Linked DNA regions of Danio rerio. The protein of the gene in region 1 purifies or fractionates together with the protein of each later gene. This does not show direct contact. Links are inferred from orthologs where the notes say so. Each region holds a gene or a part of one and is shown in the gene's direction. Other genes may lie near its edges.

The links. The genes of interacting proteins can lie anywhere in the genome.
Region 2: the proteins of ambra1a (region 1) and stub1 purify together in Homo sapiens (affinity purification with mass spectrometry, with the first as the bait; 3 studies listed by BioGRID). This does not show direct contact. The link is inferred for Danio rerio from reciprocal best matches to the Homo sapiens genes AMBRA1 and STUB1.

The regions. Positions count from the first base shown.
Region 1 is NC_133182.1:39,498,327-39,506,728, reverse strand, and holds part of ambra1a (activating molecule in BECN1-regulated autophagy protein 1A), read left to right. Parts: intron 1-2,120; coding exon 2,121-2,260; intron 2,261-5,726; coding exon 5,727-5,837; intron 5,838-8,402. UniProt on the Homo sapiens protein: Substrate-recognition component of a DCX (DDB1-CUL4-X-box) E3 ubiquitin-protein ligase complex involved in cell cycle control and autophagy.
Region 2 is NC_133199.1:43,374,364-43,382,765, forward strand, and holds part of stub1 (E3 ubiquitin-protein ligase CHIP), read left to right. Parts: intron 1-2,152; 5' UTR 2,153-2,250; coding exon 2,251-2,373; intron 2,374-4,020; coding exon 4,021-4,219; intron 4,220-5,313; coding exon 5,314-5,479; intron 5,480-6,583; coding exon 6,584-6,659; intron 6,660-6,916; coding exon 6,917-6,973; intron 6,974-7,072; coding exon 7,073-7,189; intron 7,190-8,402. UniProt on the Homo sapiens protein: E3 ubiquitin-protein ligase which targets misfolded chaperone substrates towards proteasomal degradation.

The DNA.
Region 1 (8,402 bases):
TAGCCCGAGGCTCTATCTTCAGCTTTGCTGTGAACAACTTTTTCTACACATACATTTTTTAATGTAGTAGTGATTTTTCATTTTCAAGCTGTTGCAAAATACTCATCACGCCGCTTACCTGCCAATGTTCTTTTATAGATGCGTAGTTTCAAATTAGGATGTTTTTAGATGGGGAATTTGCTGTTAATTATTTTGTTTTTGAGCACTGTGGCATTTATGAACTGAATGAGTGTGCACTTGCATTCCTCTTTATGCATTTAATCATGCATTAAATTGAAAGTCTGACAGTAAAGACAATTATAATGTTACAAAATATTTCAATTTCAAATAAATTATGTTTTGATCTTTTTATTCATATAAAAATGTTATTCATAGTTGTGTAGTTTTAGTGTTCACAATATGATTTTTGCCTTTCATTTTAGGAACTGAATCAGACTCATATTAATTAGTCTGTGTTAGGACTGCACAATATATCAGTTCAGCATCAATATCGCAGTGTGCTCATCTGCAATAGTCACATCGCAAGATATGTAATGTTAAGTCTGAAATATAATTGAGAGTGAGCCACAAAACACGTAATTTGTAGAGTTTGCATGTGTACTGTTTTTAAGGCCTGTGACTGAGCCTTTCAAGAAAGCTTAGAACATTTGAGCACAAAAATTATGACATTGTCCAGTGGCAATACAGACCTTGAAATGGAGACACTCATCTCTTACTCATGAAATCAAGTGTCACTTGAATCCACTCTTGAATTATAAGATTATAACAAAATGGAAAAATGAAATAATAAAAAGCAATAATTATAGGAGAATGATAATAAAATATAATATATAAAAGCCTAATAAAATGACAAATAATAATCATTATCTAATAATCAATAAAATGATATTATGATAGTTATATAAATAACTATTGATCAGAGGATTAAATAAAATAATTTAATGAATCAAAATGATTAAAAACCAATCAAAGTAAAACACAACACAAATGAATTGTGTGTTTTTTTTTTAAACAACACACATAAATTTGCCATAAGGTTTCTCAGATGCCTAGTTAGATTCTGCAGAGGTGTAACAAAGATTTGTTTTATTTAATAATATATTTGATTAATTATTTTAATGATTTATTTATAAATTGTTTATAATTTTTTTCTTTATAAAAGAATTGAAAAAGTTTTTTTCTTACTAAGAATTTTTGTCTTGTTTCTAGTCTAAACCTCTATATTTCAAGGCGAAAACAAGATTATTTTACTTAACAAATTGGCAGATAATTTAGCTTGTTTTAAGGGAAAAAAACTATTACTTTCTTCTGGAATTAAAAAAAAAAATTATATTTTCACTTGATCTAAGAATTTTTAGATAATTGGACTAGAAAAAGGGACAAAGCAAAGAAAGAACAGTATTTTGTGCATTGTGATTGTTTCATTTTTGTACCCATTAACTGTTAGACATCCCAATATATGATTTTTTTCAATATCGTGCAGCCGTAGTTTGTGCACCAAAAATCTGTGCTGCACATAAATCCCCTCTCAGAAGAGCCCTATACTGTGTGTTTGAGAGTGAAGCTGCACAACGTCCCTGCAGCATAGGTCCATATGTGCACACACTCACTCTGTTCAGGTGCTGTGGTGCAGATACACACACAAATACGTGCATCAGTCATACATGCTCTCTTCCCTGAGAAACACCAGTCTTTGCGGCTTTTATCCTTGTCCTGAATTTCCTCTGTCTAGAGTAAAGAAGGAGAGAAAGAGTTTGTCTGTTGATCACTCATCTGCAGATGAATGAGACCGCTTTCTCTCTCTCTGGCAGACATGAGCATGTCCTATTTTTGTCCTTTTTTTTCTGGAGCCAGTGGAGTGTAAGTATTATGCCAAGGCTGACAGACAGGGGACAGGGGAATGGATTGGAAAAGAAAGGGAAAGAGTACTTTGGAGAATGAGATTTGACTTTTCGCAGTTTAGCCTCTTCTCAGTTATGCTAGCAGCGCTGTCATATCTGACACAGACTGCAATCTACAGTGCAGAGGATAATGAAAGAACCTGACCACTGAAAAGAACTATTGCTGAGAGTGTTGTGGGATGTTTTAAACAGGTGTGTGTGTGTTTACGTGTTTTTCAGAGGGTGTTTGATGTGGTGTACCCAATGGCACCAGACCAGAGGAGACACGTCAGTATAAACTCTGCCCGCTGGCTGCCAGATCCGGGGCTTGGGCTCGCTTATGGGACCAACAAAGGAGATCTTGTCATCTGCAGACCTGTGTGAGTCTCCTATCATCCCTTCATAGCTCTCTCAGCCCTTCTTGAGGGTCATAAATCACTTTTTCTTGTAGTTTTCTCTCATTAAAGACTCCAAAATGCTGCCGTCATGTGTTTTATAAAGCAAGGTTAAAAAACTCAGCTTGACTCTGCAAAATAATTGCTTGCCAAACATAATGAGCACTTTATTCATCTGTGGGTTGATCAACAATAAATGAGAAGTGATCGTTAATGGCGGTAACCATGATAAAAACAAGCTGCTGTTATATATTCAGTCTGTGTGTTAAAGCATTTGGTTGTTCTGAATTGTTGAACTCAGTCAGTCTTTGCGCTGATATGCCCATCTGTTTTTGTTTTCTGGGTGAGAACAGCACTGTTTAATGTTTATGTAAATGAACATCATACATTTCAAATACTTTCTCGGTTTTGTCAGTTCTTCAGCAGTTTTAAAAGAAGTTTCCCTACTAGCGTTTGGTGTTTGTTAGCGAAATAGACACTAATTAATTCACTTCAAGGATCATTTCCCTCTGCTGTATTTTGGTTGTATAATTTGCAGCTTGGCTGTGGATGTTGCTTTTCTGCAAGTTTGTCATAATTATCATCAAGGTTACCGTGGATACAAAAAGACCACGTTGCAACACAAACATTGTCTCTCCAATGTAAACATGCTCTCACTTCATTAATGCAAACAGTTTGCTAATTGGAGAAAGCAGAAAATTCACAGCCTTATTTTAGTTTATGAACTGGTCTGGTGTCCAGCACTAAGAAAATATAACATTTTGTGGCTTGGACACAAAAAGGCCAGCGGCTTCATTCATAATACAAAGTTTTAAGGCTTTTACACTGTAATCTACCAAATAATGGCAAATGTTTTGTTTGTATGGTTTGTTGTTTTATTATATCTGTTGTCACAATAAAACAAAAAATGCTTTATGCTGCAGTCACACCTTGTCATAATTTACCATGATTATTAAATGAAGCTCACATTAAGACAGCACGATATAAGGAAAAATATAACATTGCAATATATTTCAATATAGGCTTGTTACAGGTTGGAATTTTGTAATTGCTGTGATTCCAACATTTTGTTAGCATACCTGTTTGTGCAATTGCTGTTGTTATCTCATGCCCAGTTCTTTATTTCTATCCTATTCCAGTGAATTTTCCTAAAATGTCTGTCATTTTTGGCTTCTGGCTGAATGCAAATAATAATTTAGTATAAAGATAAACAACGAAAATAAAAATCCAAGGCACTCAAAAAGTGATTTTTTTAGTAGGTGCTGTTTTATAACCTCACCGGCCACTTTATTAGATATACCTTACAACTATCAGGTTGGACCCACCTTTGCCATCAAAACTGAAATTCTTCGTGGCATAGATTCAACAGGGTATTGGAAAATTCCTCAGAGATTTTGGTCCATATTGACATGATAGCATCTCGCAGTTGCAGCACATTCGTCAGCTACACATCCATGATCCGAATCTCCCGTTCCACCACATCGAGCAGTTGGACAGGTGTACCTAATAAAGTGTCCGGTGAGTGTAGATTAGCCATGTTAATTAAGTTTTTTTTATTTTTTTTATTTTATTTTTTTTTAAATGTCACTTACTTTTTGAGTACCTTGGACTTATGATTTAAATGTTTATCCTTATGAATCCCTTACTCAAAGAGTACACCTTAACTACCCCTGAAGCACTTTTTGTTTGATTTTGGATTTTTAATATTTAAGCATGTTACATTTTTAGAAGACATGAGGCTGGAAACATCAGGGCTGGCAATAACACACAACTAACACCCATTATTATTTGCACATCATTTGATTTCAGATGGATGAGCAGTCCAGTCCAATGAACAGTATAATGCACGCTCATTTGTTCAGTATTTTAGTCAACACTCGGCATGGTTGCATTAAATTCGTATGAGTTTGAACAACAAACTGAGTCATTCTCTGAGATCCATTACAAGACCAAGTCCTTTGACTTTATAGTGTCCAAGAGCATATATTCATGGTCTTGGTCTCTTGTTATCAATCTGGAACCACATGAGCTTAGTCTTGATTCAGACTCAACCTCCTTACTGTATATTGGACTCACCAGTTTTTCACACAGGTCAGAGATACAGTATTAGGCATTGCCATAATTTAAATAAAGTTTAGTCCTACTCTTTATAAGTCTTTTGATTTGATTCTCAATCTTAAAATATGTCCTGCTTTGTTTCATTCCCTGTACGCTAATGTACCAGAGGTTTGGAAAATTGGCTTTACCTTTCACTGAAAGCAGGCAGGACCACACACCGCTTTCTCTCTGTCAGCACCCATAAGGCTGTTATTCTACAGCTTTTGATGGACACTGAAGGGAGAGGGATCGATCCAACTGAAACTGGTAATTAGCCTCCAGTGGTTCCAGATATCAGCCTACTCTCATGCTGGGGAACATCCACTCATTATGATGTGTTGGAAAATAAAGGATCAATTTTTAAAGTGCACAAATATTGACATGATATTCATGAATGCCACAAACAGGCCTACACAGCTTGTCCTCCGCCATCAGCTCAAAACAGTGGTGATTCTGAGAAATTAATTACTTTAGCTCTATAATACGCATCACTCATCAGCGCTTTGCTTACAGGTGTTTTTAAACAGGAGATGTTTTGCTCTTTCTTAGTTAGGCTCTCTCAGAGAAAAAAGAGAGAGACAAATGGACAGAGAGAGCAGTAGAAGGGAAAAAGGGGCAAGAACTAGAGCTGGACAGGCCCATTGGGAGGCAACATCTCAGGGAACTCTTGGTTGGAGACAGGTGCGCGGGATGGTTGGATGAAGTGGATGTCAGCCTCTGCAACTACGGGACTGTCAGTGCTATGCTAATGAGGCGCGTAGATGCATTGTGGGAGTCCATGGGGAGCATGGCGAGTTACTTTGAGCTAGGCAAATGAGCAGTCAACGGACTATAGCTCTGACACAGCCGAGGAAGAGGGAGCTTTTTCTTTTTTAGCTGCCATTGTTTAAGCTCTTTGTTCTCGTACTGTGTTTGCTGAAGATTTTATCTCTATTTAAACCCAACAAAGCAAAACGAGGGGTTCCTAAAGTCGGAGCACAATCATTAGTGACAGGGGGTATTTTTTATTTCTGAGAAAATTCTAATGAATTCTTTTTACTTTGTGCTCTGACTCAAGCTATGTTTGTCTGATTTGGTTTTTATTACTTGTTTGTTAAATCAGGTAAACACATTTTCCCTTTTATTCTCCATTGAAGACTTGCTTTATTCATCTCTGTGCAGTTAATTAATGCCAGTGGATGACACCTTTGAATTAAGAATGGTTTAAACCAGTTTTCATTTCATTTGAAATGAAAGTCAATGTTTTTTCTTCTTGCATAAATGACATTGTTGATAAGCCCTTACTTTGATTACAGGCTATTTTCACTTTTTCTTTCTTTGTCTCTGTATGTGACCATGGAAATGTGGCGTGCAGCGATGTGCATTCTGATGGCAGCAGCACCTCTGAACACTCTGAGCGAATGTTCACCATCAATAATGGTGGAGGGGTTGGACCCAGTAGCAGCAGGAGTGGAGACAGGGCAGGGTGAGTATGGACATACTGTTGTTAGGAGCACAAGGACATTGAGCTGGTGTTTTAGCACTTCAAAAAAAATGCCTCATTGTGCTTTATGCATATTACCTATTATGCATTATGCAGTGTGTAATGTTCAGGGTTCCCACAGCTCATGGAAATTCTGCAATATCATATAATTTTAAAAGGTCTATTCTAGACATTGAAAGTTAGTGAATTTAAATATTTTGTTGTTGTTGAATATCATGGAATATCAGTTTTTTTAAACATTTAAATTTTACTTTCCATTTATAAAAAAATTTTTGCATTTTTTTTAATGTTGTTTCATGTCTTGCCTATTAGTCTATTTTTCAGTGTCATTTTTTTTCCCCACTTGTCAACCAGCAAACACTTAAGTCAAATGCAGTCACCAGGCTTTACCTGTTTACCTGCTCAAAACAACAGCTGTCTGTTTTTCTGTTCATTATTGGTCATGGAAATTCATCTTTTTTAGTTAGTGAAAGTCAGGGAAAAGTCAGGAAACTGGTCTCGGGTAGGAATCCTGAATCTACTATAGCTTAAAAAGTCATTGAATAAATAAAGAACTACTACACACATTTTAAAAAATAAAAATAGCACACATAATAGCATTGTAAATCAACCATCTTTCTTTGTTTGTTCAGATATAAATTAAAATTCACTCACTTAATTAATTCACTTTTTTCCAGCTTAGTCTCTTTATTAATCTGGGGTCGCCACAGCGGAATGAACCGCCAACTTATCCAGCATATGTTTCAAACAGTGGATGCACTTTCAGCTGCAACCCATCACTGGGAAACACACATACACTACAATTTAGTTTACCCAATTCACCTTTAGTGCATGTCTTTAGACTGTGTGGAAAACTGGAGCACCCGAAGAAAACCCACACAAACACAGGGAGAACATGCAAACTCCACACTGAAATGCCAAATGACCCAACCGAGGCTCGATCCAGCGACCTTCTTGATGTTAGGCGACATCGCTGCCAACTGCGCCACCAGGCCACCCAAATTAAAAAATTTAAAATGAAAAAAAAAATACAATTTCATAAGTGAAACTTTCATGGACAGCTCTCCAATGTGTAGTGTCATTATGCTTTATCATCAGTGACTGGGGCTTTTCCCGATTCTGTCAGCCTCTTGCCCACTTTACTTTCTGCCTATTGTCCATACCATTCTACCTTAAACGCTAAACAAATCTTTAAACAAGAAAGAGAATTCTTAAAGCAAAACACTGTTATTGTGTACAAAAAATTGTAGTATACTGTATTGTGTGTTACCTTCAAATTATCCCTGGCCAGCCTTTCGCTGTTCAGTGTCCGGCAGAACCAGCATGTCACTTAGTTGGATGGGCATGATAGCAGAGCACAGCTGTGAGCCATGGCTGCTGTTAATTAAGACTCATCACAGCAGCCATGAATCCAGCCTCTGTTGCTGACACTTATTTTGGAAAAAATATGCCTCTGTGAGGTGTGACTGCTCATCCCTTATTGCTGGTCTTCACTCGCTGACACACTTGTCCATAATGAACTTAATGAGACATCTTAGTCTACTCTACAGTAGCAGTGTTTCACCCAAGATTGTGATAAAAGTGTCCATCTACCCTCACACAGCTTCCTGGCCATTTTATTGATTCCTCAGTCCCAGGCTCTGGAGCAGGTGACTATATAGGACACAATAACAGCCTGTAAGCTAATATATAGCTTCATATAATTAAGCATCCATAACTGATAATATGATTGTGTTTGTGTCATATTTGTTAATAGTAGCTTCATTAAAATGTGTTCCAAATAAATTTATCCATACAATCTTTTTTTTTCTTAGGTTATGTCTAAATAAATGACAAAACCAGCTTTGAATGGCAACAGTTATGTCAAGAATCTGTTGACATTTCAATCAGCAAATGAAAAGCAGATTAAATATGTATCTGTAATCCATATTAAAACATTAATATCCTTCAAATTATTTGTATTGCGTGTGCATGTGTGTTTATGGAGCATATGGGGAATTTGGAAATTATGGTTTGATGAAAAGTGTTTAAATTTTTTTGTAGTGCATTACTATGTATTTAACATGGTAAATATAAGTCCAACAGGTATAAATAAGCTAAATGGGGGAAAAAATAAAATGACTAAAATATGACTAATACAAAAAGCCATTTCACTCGTAGGAATATGACTAAATCAAAAATCTGCTGCAATTTGCTGTTCATTTACTGTAGACCCCATTAACTTTCATCACCCTGTTTAAATAAATGGTCTCCCATAAGCATCGATGGTTCCATGTAGGATCTGAGACATCGACACAACCACTTTCCATTGGTTCTTTAAAGTAGAATTGGTTAAAAAAATAGATTGGGTAAACTTTGTTTTTCAGTGTTTAAACTTGAAGAATTCTCCTTCAAGCCGGAGAGGGCCAGCCAACCTTGTCCAGTCGAGCACTATGGCCAGTGGAGTTCAAGTATCTTGGGGTTTTGTTTGATGGAATGTAAGATTGACAGGCTGATTTGTGCAGCAGAAATGTTATCAAATCACTGTTCAATTTACATTCCTACTCT
Region 2 (8,402 bases), on another chromosome or scaffold:
TCTGAACACACAACACGTCCAACCTTGAGGCGGATGGGCTACAGCAGCAGAAGAGCACACCGGGTGCCGCTCCTGTCAGCTAAGAACAGGAAACTGAGGCTACAATTCACACAGACTCACCAAAACTGGACAATAGAAGATTGGAGAAACGTTGCCTGCTCTGATGAGTCTCCATTTCTGCTGACACATTCAGATGCTCGGGTCAGAATTTGACGTCAACAGCATAAAAGCATGAATCCATCCTTCCTTGTGTCAGCGGTTTAAGCTGGTGGTGGTGGTGTATTGGTGTGGGGGAGATTTTTTTAGCACACTTTGGGTCCATTAGTACCAATTGAGGGTCGTGCAAGTTTTTGCAAGATACTTGTATTCAGCATTTAAAGGCTTAATTATGTTAACTAGGCAAGTCATTGTATAATGATGGTTTGTTCTGTAGCTAATTGAAAAATATCTTGATTTCTGTAGCGCTTTTACAATGCAGATTGTGTTAAAGCAGCTTAACATAGAAGATTATAGTGATATAGTGATAGTGTAAACTGTCAGTCCAGTTTTCAGAGTTGGAGTTCAGTTTAGATTAGTTCAGTGTGGTTTAATATTCAATACTGAGAGTTCAAACACTGAAGAGCAAATCCATCGATGCGCAGCTCCACAATTCCCAAACCAAGCAAGCCAGTGGCAACAGCGAAGGAACAATCTTCACCAATTGACGTGATTGAAGTGAAGGAAAAAACCTGGAGAGAAACCGGCTCTGTTGGGCACGACCATTTCTCCTCTGACCAAACTGCAGAAAAGCAGTCTAGGCGCCGGAGGCTGGAGAACGCTGGATGTCCATCGTGGAGAAGATGCAAGTGTGAGTAGGTCACCGGCGTGTGTTCAGGCTGGCCCACTTGATAAATGTGAGGACTTGTTTGTCACTGGGGTGATTCAGGCATCAGTCTTATGCTCTCAGCTCCTCCATGACAACCACAATATCTGCCAGGCCCGGATTGGCGAACCGAGAGAATTCCTGGTGGGTCGGTCCGTTTTTTGGCCGTGAGGGCCAGTGTCCCTAGCTGCTTGCACTCTCAGCAGTCACACTTTTTTCATTTATTTATTTATTAATTTGACCATAGCCTCACTCTTTTTTTTTGTTTTTCATTATTTTGCCGCAGCGCCGCTCTTTTTATTTATTTTTTTTCTTGCTGCTCCGTGAGCAAAATGCAGCCTGCAGGTTTACTAACGTTAATGATGATGTAACTAATCATTCGACCCCAAACAGTGGCACCTTAGTGATTATAAGAATTTGAATAATTAATATTAATGAATAATACACCTGCTCAATGAAAATCAGATGATTTACTACATTAAATCTGACAAAACTTGATCAGAAATCTAAAAGGAGAAAATGATTTAGCCATCAAAGTAATACTATGTCTTGCCGTTCACAGTGTAATCTTTATTTTTTATTCCCACTGGAATAGCGCCATTGTGGTCCAGTGGAAAGCACGTTGCGTTGCGAAACTTCCGACCCATGTTCGAATCTCACCTGAAAAATTATTATTATTATTTTTCGTTTTTATGACATAATACTGTAAGGGTTGTTGAACATTTGAATTTCTAAAGCAGCTGTTTTCTCAAAAAAGATGTGATAGTGTCATTAGAAACTGAATTGGAAATGACCTTATTTTAATGTAATCAGTCGAGGTGGGCTGGTCTGGCTTGAAACTCCAGGGCTGAAAATGAGTCCCACTCCGGCCCTGATATCTGCTCAGGATACGGCCTGGTCCAGGATTATGGAGACCTCTAGAAGTGCTCTGCGGTTGGCATCATTTCTTCACAGGTCTTGGATCACATCAATGGCGCTGCACAATCTCTAGAGGCCTCGGGATGAGTATCCCCAGGTGGAAATAGAAAATAAAGAAAATAATTAGCGTAGCTGCTGTTCATAGTGTATTTAAACAAGAGATATTAAAAATCAATGCAAAAATCAAGAGCTATAAATGAAAATAGCACTTATATAAACATAAAAACAAACACGCAAAGCATATCATTGTTTCTAACAAACTGTTTTGAATGTATATTCTTATGGTGGCTAATAAAATTGACCCCATAAGAATATTGTTATGATTTTGCACCTGCATTACTGTGGCTCATATTTTCCTTGTGTGTTTCTGAGAGGTTTGCAGGTAACTGGCTCCCCGGGACCGGCCGGTGCTCACCGAAGAGACGGGGAACAGGATTGGGAAGCAGGGGGGAGCGGCCACCGCAGAGCCCATGGAGAAGATGGCGAGCAGCCCAGAGAAAAGCTCATCCGCACAGGAGCTGAAGGAGCAGGGAAACCGCCTGTTCCTCAGCCGCAAGTACCAGGAGGCCGTCACCTGCTACAGCAAAGCCATCGTGAGTGAGGGGTGCTGGGAACACACAGAGTAAATATGTGTGTCAGTTTCAACAGCGGGGGGTTTAGGAGAAATTCAGACTCACAGAAAGTTCAGAATTATTAAACCTTCTGGTAAATAGTTTTTCCCCAATTTCTGTTTAAAGGACACATTTCTAAACATAATATTTATAATAACTCCTTTCTAATAACTGATTTATTTTCTCTTTGCCATGATGACAGCACATAATATTAGACTAGATATTCTTGAAGACACTAGTATTCAGCTTAAAGTGACATTTAAAGGCTTTACTAGGTTAATTAGGGTGAAGTTAGGGTCATTAGGCAAGTCATAATATAACAGTGGTTTGTTCTGGAGACAATCCAAACTAACATTGCATAGGGGGGCTAATAATATTGACTATTAAATGGTTTAAAACAATTATTAAATGCTTTTATTCTAGCCAAAATAAAACAAATAAAATACTGTGAAAAATTCCTGAATCTGTTCAACATCATTGGCAAATAATTAAAAAAGGAAAAATAATTCACCAGAGGGTGAAGAAATCTGCCCTCAACTGTAAATAAATTCAGAAGTTAATTATTGTATAAAAACATCAAATATTTAGTGCTGTTTAATAATAATGTTTAATATGTATACTTCTGTATACGCCATTTACAGAGGAGCGGGTGTATGTTTAAACAGACAAATACACTCAATAATATGTAAACATCTCCGTCCTGCATGTTTTATTTTAAAACTAAAGCTTATTTTCTCTTAAATGAGCGTAAACAGTTTCTAAAGTAATGGAATGCTTCATTATTGATCTGTGCATTCTTACAGAGACACCTCTGTTATCAAACAAAACAAAACATGAGATTCATTTGCTGCTCACTTGTTTGATAACAGGTGTCACTTTAAATGGCGTGTACAGACGCTGAGCTGGGATCAGTTTATTGTACGGAGCGCGTCTGTCAGTCAGCGCTTATACATGCTTTCACTGCTTCAGAGGTTGCATATATATTGCATATTAAAGAAATTGGGATAGAATGGTAAAATATGGGAGAATTTCAGCTAAAACGGGTGGGTTTACGTGAGTGAAGTGAACAGGAAGTGTTTGTGGAGAAACAGTTTTGCGAGAGAACGCAAAACATCTTCGCGAGGGAACGCAAAAACGTAGAAATATATATTTTCCTCCCAACCATATTTTTTTTTCACCCATTATTTTTTTCTCCCAGCCAATTTTTTCTCCTCAACTACGTCCCTTCCGGGTTTCTGTACAATCTGGCAACCTGTGCTTGCGTTTGTTTTGATCAAGGGGTGCAATACCTAGTTTCACCACTGGGTGTCAAACTTACATACTGCACTTATATATTACATTTAAAAAGCTATAAATCCACATAATGTTTTGGTCACATCCATAACGCATGTTTGTTTCTCTCATTTAAAGTATAAAACACACTTACAGATTAATATTTTATGATTAACTCTGTGTTTAGTCACAAATATTAACTGCTATTTCGATTTAATATTAACATAAACATTCTCTGTGAATTTTCAGTTTCAAGTTTGTACTCCAGATGTCACATCCATAATGCTGGAGTTGCTCATGAGTTGTTCTGTATGATCTTGTGTGTTGTATTAAACGTGTCTCTGCTTGTTTGTGTAGAATCGTAACCCATCAGTGGCCGTGTACTACACTAACAGAGCGCTATGCTACGTCAAGCTACAGCAGTACGACAAGGCACTGGCCGACTGTAAACACGCCCTCGAGCTCGACAGCCAATCGGTGAAGGCGCACTTTTTTCTGGGCCAATGTCAGCTGGAGCTGGAGAATTACGAAGAAGCCATCGGCAACTTACAAAGAGGTACACACTGAGCGGATTATACACGCATTTCTAATCATAATAGTTTTAATAACTCATTTCTAATAACTGATTTATTTCATCTTTGTCATGATGACAGCAAATAATATTTGACTAGATATTGTTAAAAATACTAATATTTAGCTTAAAGTAAACATTCCGGATACCTCTGAAATCTGATCTGGCACCTCATTTTACTGATCCCCCTCCTCAACCGCCCTCATCCGCTGTTCACTTTCACTTTCTTTCGCGACTCCTCAACCCTCTCCACTTTCGTCAGCGACACCCCTCTGCCATCCAACGCCCCGCTATCTTAAACACACCCCCCCCCCCTCCACCATCCAACGCCCCGCCATCTTACCCACCCCCTCCTTCAATTTAGTCTGTGCCAAACTTTTGTGTGTGGCACCTCTACATCCTGAGGTAACATGACGGATCTGTTACCCCGATCTGTTCTGGGACCTCGCAATTCACAAATGAAGCACTGCTCACCCTTTTTTCAATCTTTTAAAGCTTTATGAAATTCTTTATTTTATGGAACACAAAAGGAGATATTTTGAAAAATGTTGAAAACCTGTAACCATTGACTTCCATAGAACTTGTTTTTTAATATGAAAGTCAGTGCTCTTCAGCTTTCTTCAAATTATCTTCATTTAATGGGATAGTTCACCCCAAAATTTAAACTTCAGGAGTTTTTTTATTCTGTTGAACACTAAAGAAGATATTTTGAAAAATGTTGCAAACCTGTAACCATTGACTTCCATAGTAGAAAACAAAACTAATTGAAGTCAAATGGTTCCAGGGTTCCAGCCTTCTTTAAAAAATCTTCCTTTCTGTACAGAAAAAAGAAACTCTGACATGTTTTGAACAAGTAAAGGGTGAGTAAATGATGACAGAACTGTAATTTTTGGGTGAAAGTTCTTTCATTAAATTAATCTATTCTCTAATAATGTTGATTTTCTTTTGGTCAATATATTAGTCATTAATAGTATATAAAATAAGTAAACATTATTGGCACAAAATCTCTAAAATGCCCTACAGAATGTCTAGACATCATACAATGTCTGTGATTAAATTGCTCTTTGAATCATTTCCAGCCTATAACCTGGCGAAGGAACAGAGGCTCAATTTTGGAGACGACATCCCAAGTGCTCTTCGCATCGCCAAGAAGAAACGCTGGAACAGCATAGAGGAGAAGCGGATCAGCCAAGAGAACGAGCTGCACGCCTATCTCAGCAAACTCATCCTGGCCGAGAAGGAGAGGTGTGTGTGTGTTTGTGTGTGCATATGTGTTTTTTTTGTATGTGTGTCTGTGTGAGTTTCTTTATTTGTGTGCGTGTTTGCTTGCCTGTGTTTCTGTGTGTGTGTTTGCTTGTGTGTGTGTCTTTGTTTGTTCATGTGTGCATTTGTTTGTGTGTCTGTCTTGTGTGTTTTGTGTGTGCTTTTTGTTTTTGTTTGTTTGTGTGAGTTTAAGTGTGTGCATTTGTGTTTGTGTGTGTGTGTTTGTGTGTGCATTTGTGTTTGTGTGTGTGTGTTTGTGTGTGCATTTGTGTTTGTGTGTGTGTGTTTGTGTTTTTTTTTGTATGTGTGTTTGTTTATTTGTGTCCATGTGGGCTTCTGTGTGTGAGTTTGCTTGTGTGTCTATGTGTCTGTTTGTTTGCTTGTGTGTTTTTTGTGCGTGGCTTTGTGTGTGTGTGTGTGTGTGTGTGTGTCTTTGTGTGTTTGTTTGTGTGTGTGTGTTTGTCTGTGTGTGCATTTGTGTGTGTGTGTGTTTGTGATTTTTTTTTGTATGTGTGTTTGTGTGAGTTTGTGTTTATTTGTATCAGTGTGTGTGTCTGTGTGTCTTTGTTTACTTGTGGGGCTGTGTGTGTTTTTTGTGCGTGGCTTTATGTGTGTGTGTGTGTTTGTGTGTTTGCTTGTGTGTGTTTTCTTGTGTGGCTTTTGTGTGTTTGTGTTTTTGTGTGTGTCTTTTTGTGTGTGTGTTTGCTTGTGTGTGTGTGTGTGTGTGTGTGTGTGTGTACACATTTGTGTTTGTTTTTCTCTGTATGTGCATTTGTGTTTGGTTGTGTGTGTTTGCGTTTTTTGTACATGTGTTTGTGAGTTTGTGTTTATTTGTGTGCGTGTTTGCTTGCATGTGTGTTTGCTTTCCTGTTTCTGTGTGTTTGTGTTTGTTTGTGTGTGTGTGTGTGTGTGTGTGTGTGTGTGTGTGTGTGTGAGTGCTTTTGTGTGTGTGCTTTTCTGTGTTTATGTCTCTCTTGTACGTTTGTGTTTTTGTTTGTTTGTGTGAGTTTAAGTGCGTGCATGTGCGTGTGTGTGTGAGTATCTGTCAGTGTGCTCATGCTTCTGTTTGTGTGTGTGTGTGTTCAGAGAGCTGGACGACCGAGTGAAGCAGTCAGATGACAGTCAGAATGGAGGAGACATTAGCAAGATGAAGTCCAAGCATGTGAGACGTCCACATAAACACATCTCATACCACAGTACAGCACAATGCTCGATTCTGATTGGCCGATGAGCTTTGAAGATGATCCTAAAACAGCTGTAAACCTGTATCTATTGACTGCCATAATAGGAAAAGAAATACTATGGAAGTCAGTGGATGCAGGTTATTCTAATAATTACAGGCATATTGTCGATTATTCCCTGCATATAATCGGTGTATGATTGATGAAGTGATGTCATTTCCTGTGCTCGTCCCTGCAGGATAAGTATCTGATGGACATGGATGAGCTTTTCTCTCAAGTAGATGAAAAGAGGAAGGTATGAAGGGATTTTCTGATCGCTGCACTGACTCTGAAATATCACTGGCCCAAATCCTGCTCCTTGTAATGTTGTCTGTGTGTTTGGGTGGTGGTGCAGAAACGCGAGATCCCCGATTACCTGTGTGGGAAGATCAGCTTCGAGCTGATGAGGGAACCCTGCATTACTCCCAGCGGCATCACCTACGACCGCAAGGACATCGAGGAGCATCTACAGGTGAGACATGAAATCCATCCATCCATATATATATATATATATATATATATATATATATATATATATATATATATATATATATATATATATATATATATATATATATATATATATATATATATAAATAAATAAATAAATAAATATAAATATATATATTTATATTTATATATTTATATTTATATATATATATATATATATATATTTATATTTATATATATATATTTATATTTATATATATATATATATATATATATATATATATATATATATATATATATATATATATATATATATATATATAGATATATAGATAGATAGACAGACAGACAGACAGACAGACAGACAGATCTGGATGCATGTATACTTACCGGCCACTTTATTAGGTACACCTAACTAGTAGAAAGAAACTTGCCTGAAACTTGTATTATTGTCGGCTCAGTGAACGAGTCCTTCGTAATGGAGATTCATTCACAAACAAATCGCTCCCTCCGTTAGCATTAGAAGTGAAAGCGGGAGAGGAGGGTGTGTGTTTCAGGACACGGATTAGATCAAATTTAACAGAGAGGGAAGATAATACATTTTCATGCACACAAACACATTCGTCAGTGTTACTGCACGGGCATTGTGATGTAAAATGAGAATTTTCGTAATTTAAAAAAACATTGGATACTGACCACCGGGAAAACTCCCGATCACAGGCCTCTGCATGACCAAAGACCTCCACTGCACCTTTCCGCATTCATTTCAAAGGAGTGCGACCCTGTACTAAAATGGTGGCTCTACTGACGCATTTTTTCCAATAATGTAAATATCTATGAGAGTCAACAAGGTAATGAAAATATTCCTCAGAGATTTTGCTCCATATTAACATGATAGCATCACGCAGTTGCTGCAGATTTGTCGGCTGCACATCCATGATGCCAATCTCCCGTTCCACCACATACCAAAGCTGCTCTATTAGATTGAGCTCTGGTGACTGTGGAGGACATTTGAGTACAGTGAACTCATGGTCATGTTCAAGAAACCAGTCTGAGATGATTCAGGATTGGTGTGTTATCCTGCTGGAAGTAGCCATCAGAAGATGGAGACACTGTGGTCATAAAGGGATGGACATGGTCAGCAGCAATACTCATGTAGGCTGTGGCGTTGTCATGATGCTCAATTGGTACTAATGTACCCAAAGTGTGCCAAGAAAATCTCCCCCACACCATTA